2 linked regions of the Xenopus tropicalis genome follow. The protein of the gene in region 1 interacts with the protein of each later gene in a biochemical or structural test. Links are inferred from orthologs where the notes say so. Each region holds a gene or a part of one and is shown on either strand. Other genes may lie near its edges.

What was found.
Region 2: the proteins of atp7b (region 1) and atox1 form a complex in vitro, tested with the Homo sapiens proteins (3 studies listed by BioGRID and IntAct). The link is inferred for Xenopus tropicalis from reciprocal best matches to the Homo sapiens genes ATP7B and ATOX1.

Annotation. Positions count from the first base shown.
Region 1 is NC_030678.2:149,999,989-150,003,811, reverse strand, and holds part of atp7b (copper-transporting ATPase 2), read left to right. Parts: intron 1-508; coding exon 509-643; intron 644-900; coding exon 901-1,095; intron 1,096-1,357; coding exon 1,358-1,540; intron 1,541-3,384; coding exon 3,385-3,577; intron 3,578-3,823. UniProt on the Homo sapiens protein: Copper ion transmembrane transporter involved in the export of copper out of the cells. It is involved in copper homeostasis in the liver, where it ensures the efflux of copper from hepatocytes into the bile in response to copper overload.
Region 2 is NC_030679.2:16,843,294-16,847,914, forward strand, and holds the start of atox1 (copper transport protein ATOX1), read left to right. Parts: upstream 1-1,587; 5' UTR 1,588-1,670; coding exon 1,671-1,676; intron 1,677-4,621. Other genes in the region: g3bp1 (ras GTPase-activating protein-binding protein 1), read right to left, coding at 1,383-1,462. UniProt on the Homo sapiens protein: Binds and deliver cytosolic copper to the copper ATPase proteins. May be important in cellular antioxidant defense.

The sequences.
Region 1 (3,823 bases):
GTTGCATTGCATGTAGTGCTACATGTGTTCAGGAGTGCTGCATATACAGTATATTATTTAGATGTTTATTTAGATATTTAGGGAGCTCCGAGGTATGCTAGGTTTTGGGGAGTCCTGTATTACTGTTGTAGAACACAACATACGCCTACAGGAGCAAGTGTTTGGTGAATGGGCCCTAGGGGTCACAATTTTGCACCACTTAGTGCTCAAGCACTTGCACCCTTAGCAATCCTAAATGAGCCCAATAGTGAGCTATTTAAATCAAATGTTTAGATTTAGTATGATCCCTTTTGCGTGTGTTTCCAATATAATGGGCCAGATTCAGTTCAAGTACTTTAACACATAAAATATAAAACTGAATCTGGCCCAATATATGGAAGATAAAACCTAATATAAATGGCTAAAAATACTTGAATGAATATGGAATTCTGCATATTATACACACGTGCACAGACATATGCATAAATCACTCTTTAAATGTGCTTATAATTGATTCTCTCTTTTATAGGCACCTATCCAGCAGCTGGCAGATAAAATAAGTGGATACTTTGTTCCCTTTATCATCATTATTTCTGTTGTGACTTTGGTGACTTGGATAATTATTGGCTTTGTAAATTTTGACATCATAATTAAATATTTTCCGGTAAGTATTTTATCCACTAGTGTTTTTTCACTAGAAAATGCCATGCGTGAAATTAGCCTAAAACTGTTGTTTTCATTGATCTATTCAGAGTATAATATAATTTGATGTGGTAGGTTTGTGTTAAATTGGTAGTGCCAAAATTGACTCCATATTGGTTGCTATTGGAAACAATACCTGGATAAACAATGGACCTGTTAGTACATCCACCCTCGATCTACTTTGCCCTGTTAACATATTATTTTTCCATATCATTTCAGAGTTACAGTAAAAATATTTCTAAGACAGAGGTTATAATACGTGTGGCATTTCAGACCTCCATCACGGTGCTGAGCATCGCCTGTCCCTGTGCTTTGGGCCTGGCAACACCCACAGCAGTAATGGTTGGTACAGGAGTGGCAGCTCAGAATGGCATCCTTATTAAAGGCGGTGAACCACTAGAGATGGCTCACAAGGTCAGTAACCAATAAAGATGTACTGTATGTATGTTGTGTGTTCTATCCTTTTATAAGGGATAATATGCCCAATGCTGTCCTGACTGCTGCAAAGTCACATTGCACAACTACTTCAATAGGTGGAAGGGCCGTAGGTTGTATATGTAACATCTATTCACTATAAATTGTGTTTCCTTTAGTTACAATAGGTACCTCAATGGGTAAAAGTTACCTCCTCAATACTTGTTTAATATGCAATACAGTTGTGAACTTTTATATCTAGATAAAGGCAGTGATGTTTGACAAGACCGGCACCATAACACATGGGGTACCTAAAGTCATGCGAGTGCTGCTGCTAGGCGACGTGGTGAAGATGCCTCTGAAAAGGATGCTTGCTGTGGTGGGGACGGCGGAAGCCAGCAGCGAACATCCTCTGGGAATGGCAGTCACAAAATACTGCAAGGAGGTAACACGTGTTCTGCTTGGACTGATCTTTAGCCATAATGCACCAATCAGCTCTGTAATTCAGTGTCTAAATATGATATCCCATTGCCGCATTGTGATGCACTATTCCAGTAAATCTAACCAGTAGATCAGTGCTTTGAAGCTTCCCAATGCTTTTCAGTGAGTAGATTATTTGACATACCACATATGTCAAGGCCATATTATATTAAAATGATGGCATACAAAGATGTTATTAAGGCCTCCACTTTGGCAACCTGATGTAGATTTAGACACACAGAACCTTATTACTCTTTAAGCTTACATTTTTATTATTATTGTTACTTTTCATCCCTTTTATTTCTATTTAGTCCCTCTCCTGTTTATCGTCCAGTCAGTGGCGTAGCGTGGGCTTTCGTCGCCTGGGGCCGACCGGAAATTTGCCGCCCCTCTATTTAGTTATTCTTGAAAAAAATAGACAAAATAAAAAAAGCAGCATTAAATTTTTTTTTTTTTTTTATTGAATTTGAAATGCGGTGCGCGTGTCATAATTGTCAAAAGTGGATTCAGCTGTGCGTCCGTGGCTGCCCATGGTGGCAGGGCCGCCATCAGAAATCACGGGGCCCCTCCCATCAGTACAGGACACACAGACATAAAAAGTATTAGGGTCACCCTACCACAGTGCCCCCTAACACTATGCTGGCCAGGCCCCCCTAACGCTATTCTGGCCACGGTCCCCCCATACAACTGCCCCATAGACAGTACCCCCATACACAGTGCCCCCAATTGCCCCATACACAGTGCCCCCCACACACATTGCCTCCAATTGCCCATAGAAAGTGCCCCAATTTCCCCATAGACAGTGCCTCCAATTGCCCCATACACAGTGTCCCCATAGACAGCCCCCTCCACACAGTGCCCCCAATTGCCCTTAGACAGTGCCCCCAATAGGAAGTGCCCCCATACACAGTGCCCCAATTTCCCCATACACAGTTCCCCCATAGACAGTACCCCCCAAAGACCTTGACCCCCCACAGAAAGTGCCCCAATTGCCCCATACACAGTTCCCCCAATAGAAAGTGCCCCCATACACAGTGCCCCCATAAACAGTGCCCCCAATTGCCCCATACAAAGTGCCCCCAATAGGAAGTGCCCCCATACACAGTGCCCCAATTGCCCCATACACAGTGTCCCCATAGACAATACCCCCCAAAGACCTTGCCCCCCAATAGAAAGTGCCCTCATACACAGAGCCCCAATTGCCCCATACACAGTGCCCCCAATAGGAAGTGCCCCCATACACAATACCCCACAAAGACCTGGCCCCCCCCCATGGAAAGTGCCCCAATTTCCCCATAGACAGTAGCCCCCACACAGTGCCCCCAATTTCCCCCATAGTACATACCCCCAACAGACCATCGGCGGCGGCTCCTTCTCTCTTACAAGCAACAGGCGCTTCTATAAGGTTGCGCCTCGTCGCTGACGTGTGACGTCATACGCACGGGCGCAACCTTATAAAAGCGCCTGTTGCCTGTAAGAGAGAAGGAGCCGCCGCCGCCCCTTCTGATACGCCGCCCGGGGCCATGGCCCCCTCGGCACCCCCCTCGCTACGCCACTGCGTCCAGTCTCTCATTCAAACCACTGCCTGGTTGCTCAGACCATACAACCAGATAGCTGCTGAATTTTCAAACTGGAGAGCTGCTGAACAACAAGCTAAATAACTAAAAAAAACAAAGAATAAAAAACAGTTGTCTCAGAATATTACTGTCTATCATATTAAACATTAATTTAAAGGTGAACAACCCCTTTAAGTACTATTGGACTGCAGTGGAATGTAATATTTTTTTTTTATTTCTCTCTCCTTTATAGGAACTTGGTACAGAATTGTTAGGATATTGTACAGATTTCCAGGCTGTCCCTGGATGTGGCATCAGCTGTAAAGTGAATAATATAGAGAGTGTTCTAGTGCAGAATGAAGAAGGACTAAATGAACAGAATTCTTACAGAAATTCTCTCATCGGAACCACAGACAGCTCTTTGATTATCACTCCTGAATTATTAGGTATGGCTCCATGTGTAATAGTGACGTGCAGAAGAATGAGTGCACTTTGCATGTAAATAAGCCCCAATACTGGATATATAAACCATATTATTATTTTTGAATTTGCATTCTGTGTATTATGCTGTTTTCCCAGGCATCTAATGTTTGCCAGATATTCAGACAAGATGCAGAACTCAGGGCACGAGCCCCTATATTGTAAGCTAGCATGGATATCACAATTACACCAAGGATCTTTGGGGCACCATC
Region 2 (4,621 bases), on another chromosome or scaffold:
TGTTAGGCAAGCGTTAGAAAGCGGCGCAAAAACTTTTCTGGCTTTGAAACCTTCAATGTATGATTTTGGAAGCCTTCCATAGGACTCAATGGCACTCTACAGATCCAACGTGGCCAAAAGATAGTCACGAAACCAAAGCTTGAATGAATTCCGAAATGGTCCTAGTCTTTGCAAAAAATACGACTTTTTCGAGAAAGTTAATGAAAACCACAAAAAAGTAGTGGAATTTTAACGAAATTATCGTGGACATTACAAAAAGTTCTATAATTCTCTAATAAATGGCCCCAGAGAGACAATTATCAGTAAATGATCAGCATTCAGGGGCGGGCCAAGCCGACCGGGCGCCCTAGGCAACTCGGTCGGCCAACTCCGCCCACCTCCCCCCCGAACGGCGCATGCGCGCCAAAGCACAGGAGGCGGTGCAGGGGGGGGGGGGCAGGGCGATTAGATCGGTCATTGCCTCCGCCGCTAATGACAAGCGGTGGAGGCAATGACAAAGTAGCACTAGGGGTAGGCAGGAGAGGCTCCTGCCTGGCGTCCCTCAATCGTTGCGCCCTAGGCAGCTGCCTCTTCTGCCTACCCCTAGTTCTGGCCCTGTCAGCATTGTCTATTTTAGTAGCTGCTACTAGTAGCCCTGTGTGTCTTCACCCTTATAGAAGGAGGAGCAAATTCTGGAAGCCCTGTTAATACATTGAGAGGGGGGAGCTGGGAGAGATGTTAAGGTAGAAGGTGGGTTTAGTTTCCCTATGACTCAGTGTAAAGAATAAAGGTAAGCACTTTGGAATACGTCATGCACATAGTCAAAGTTTCCAATATCATGCATGATCCTGGGCCCAGTTAAACACACCCTACCATGCAGATTTGAATGCAGTCTTTTAAATGATGGGCACACAACCTCTACCAAGTAAGAATGTTATTAATATTAGTATATTCAACAAGGCCTTTATGTTAAGAAAAGGGTTAACTATCTGTGGCTTGTACTGCCTTTCCCGAAAATTATAATTTTAACTTTGCTATCATTACATTTTGCTATCATTCCACTGTGATGCAAACATCCCCTGCTAATTCCCCTGCTAATATGCCCTATAACCCTACTCTCGGAAGATTAATATGATAATTGTAAAGATCAGGAAATAGACTTGAGCTAGAAGCGAATTAGGGCTAAGCAGCCTTCAGTGTTGCAGAACTTTACCATTACACTAACGCTGCTAGCTCTGCTGCCTGGGGAAAGCTGGGAGCTGTAGCTTTAAATTGACTGTAGTGCTAAAAGTTGTTGAAGTTATGCCATGTGACAGCTTTTACCCTTTAGTGGCTTTCTAACTTGACAGAGATAGTAATGAGTCTTACAAAGGTGGCTCGTTAAAGTAACCCCCAGTACATACTTTCTGCCGGTTTCTCCCATGCTTAGGACTGTTTCTTCCTCACTTGGGCCATGCGGACCAGAAGATGGCAGCAGCATCATTTCCTATGGTTTGTCAGCTAAAAGGACCCTGGGCTCTTGCTCTCCTCTTTCCTAGTTTGAGACCATCCTCCTCCTCCTCCTCCTCCTTCTCAGTCATGGGACAGGAAGCAGGGCTGGGCCTGATCAGGGCTTCCCTTCCAGCAAGCAGAGCTGAGGTGTATTAGAGAGATCTTCTGAGCCGCACAGCGTTGCGCACATCTGCCTCGCCATGTCGGTAAGTGATCTGTAAATGTCGTTTAGCAGCAGAGGATCAGCGCTGCCCACACTCTCACCTGCAAACATCTGGAATCTTATCCGTTAACAGAATACTTAGTGGCAATTTTTGCAGAAATGTTTCAGTTTATTTGTTCCTTCCATTTTTCTATGTGTTTGTTGCAAACGAAATGAAAGTCTTGCTATTTCTGTTTATTGTAACTACGCAGATTGAGTTGTAGCATTTAGGGGTTCTAGTGCTGTGGGTATAAGCATACATTGTAAGTGACTTAACTAGATGAGAGGTAATAAGGATGTAAATATTGGTTTTTAAATGTAAAGAAATCTAATGTGGGTGTATATTATGCACGGTTAGTCAATTGGTTCCCAAACTGAGGGGCCAGCACCCAGACTGAACTACTACTTAAGCTGGCCATACACGCAACAATAAAATCATACGAAACTGATTTTTACATTGTGTGTGGGCTCAGAGCTATCATCTCGATAATTTTCTTACCATGGCGAATATTTTGGTTGAATGACAATAAAATCTGCGCATGTATTGTGTATCTGACAATATCCTTGGGGGACCACAATGAAAGTCACTTTTGTACCATAGGTATCTGCCAACTATTTTGTGTTCCTTCAACATAAAAAATAATCTTCAGCACACCACTTACATACATGTTCTCAAAGGGTGCTTGACTTCCACGGGCGCTCCCAAGCCTTTTTTCCATGTATCTTTGCAAAGGGAAAGAAACACACCACCAGTGTGTCGGCAATGCCTTTAAATAATTTATTTGCAGAAATGAACAAACAGCACAAGCTTTCGGGGGTGACCCCGACTTTGTACCTGAAGAAGGGGTTTGTTAATTTCTGCAAATAAATGATTTAAAGGCATTGCCGACACAATGGTGTGCTTCTTCCCCTTTGCAAAGATATTTTGTGTTCCTAACATCCTCTGATTTGTTATATTTAGAACTTTATCCTTCAATTTCAGTCTGAATGTTAGATTTATATTGTTGCACTTAAATGTACGATATCGATATCTGAATGTTCTGACTATGTATGGCCAGCTATACTTCTGGAATCTGATCTATGGGGATGCCCAATTGGGGGGCTACTGCCCCAGCCCTATGTTTTATCAGGGAGAAGGCCAGGGCCCCTCCAGTTGTTGCCATAGTAATGAATACTCAACTTCACTATTGGCGATATTTGTGAACTTGCATTTTGCAAAGTAATAGCCTTTGTTATTGCATTGCTGATTTTAATTGTGCATAGTGCACTTTTAAGGTGTGCTTGAAGATAGCACTAACTATTGGAGGAAAAATAACATTTTTTAGTAAGAAGTTTCATTACATACTGGTATAAAACTAATAAAGTTATAAAATTCACAATCTTTCTTCAACTGGCAGCAGTGAATGCTGAACAGTTTCCATGTTCACAAATGCTATATTCAGTTCACAGAAAGCATAAAATGTGTGCAAGGCCATACATTTTCGCATTGTGAATAATTTTCCATTAACGACTTTTATTGCATTCCCCTGCAGATGTGCACAGAACATGTGGCGGAAATAGCGAAATTATGATCTCCCAGCTTGATGTCATTATAATAATTATTATTAACATGTAATTATAAAGCGCCAACATATTCCGCTGTACAATTAATAAATATGAGCAGGGCTAATTTGGTGTCCCTGCCCACCCTGAGGCAGGCCTTCCGATACTTCATCACCAGTGCATTGAGCCAAAATTCTGATTTTGCTGCCCCTGGTAACTGCTGAGGCAAGTTCTCAATTTACCTCATGGCAGCAGCGCCCCTGGATATGAGCCAAGTGGGGCCCTGACCCCACCCCCATGCAGTGATTGTCTCCCATTCTACGTCAGTGACTTACAGATTTCCACATCTGCATTTATATGGTCTGAGCATGGAGCCACAAACTTGCAATTCTGGTTGGTTGGCATTTGCTGAGTAATATAATTAAGGTACATAATATAGAGATTACCTAGATAGCAGGTTGCTTGTGGACTCTCAAGTGGTCCATGTGCTTACTACAGGTATAACTGATCAGGACAAGGATTTTGACAACTGCTATTTATTACCTGAAACAATTTTTCTGCCGTTGAGCAAATTACATTTGAATGCCACTGCTGCTCCAGACTTAGTGTTTACAGGTCAGTTTGCTGAAACCAGATCTACAGAGGCAGGCCAGTTCTGAATCAAGGTCTAGCATTGTTCTTTACATAGGCTGCACAAAGGTCATGTTTGCTTAGAGTATTAGAGTTAAAAAAAAAGAGAGAGTGTGTATGGAATAACGCAATGTACATAGTACAGTAGCAGAGGATGAAAAAATACCCACCTCCATCAAATGATTGTTCCTATTAGTTCCTAACTGAGTCAGTTTTACAGTAAAGGCCAGCAACTAGATAACTAAAGCCGGCCATACATGCACCGATATTATCGTGCGAAACCTCGTTTTGTTATGGTTAAAGGATTTTGATTGGGTGCCATTGAAGGCGTCCAAACAAAATTTATGCTCAGGGCTGAATCGGCAGAAGGAGGTAGAATTTCTTTTGTTTCTACATCCATATCTAACAATTCAGCCCTGAAAGTCAGATGAGGGTGGGAACAATCACGAAAGATCGAAATTGCTATGTGTATGGCCACCTTAAGACTTCTGATTAGTGGCAGAACATACATATACATGTAATGTGGCTATTGGCCAATCACATTTTCTACAATGACCAATCAGTATCTTTTAGACTATGGAAATCTTACCATTTTAGCGCAATGATGGGTATTCTCAGTATCAACCTTAATATATGTGCTATAATAAATAGAAAAAATAATTTATATTTTTTATAATAATTTTATATGTACAAATTAAATGCATAAATAAAGCCCAAATAATACCTAAAGTATGTGTTGACCTGGGTGTACGTACCCCAGGCCCGTCACCATGCATA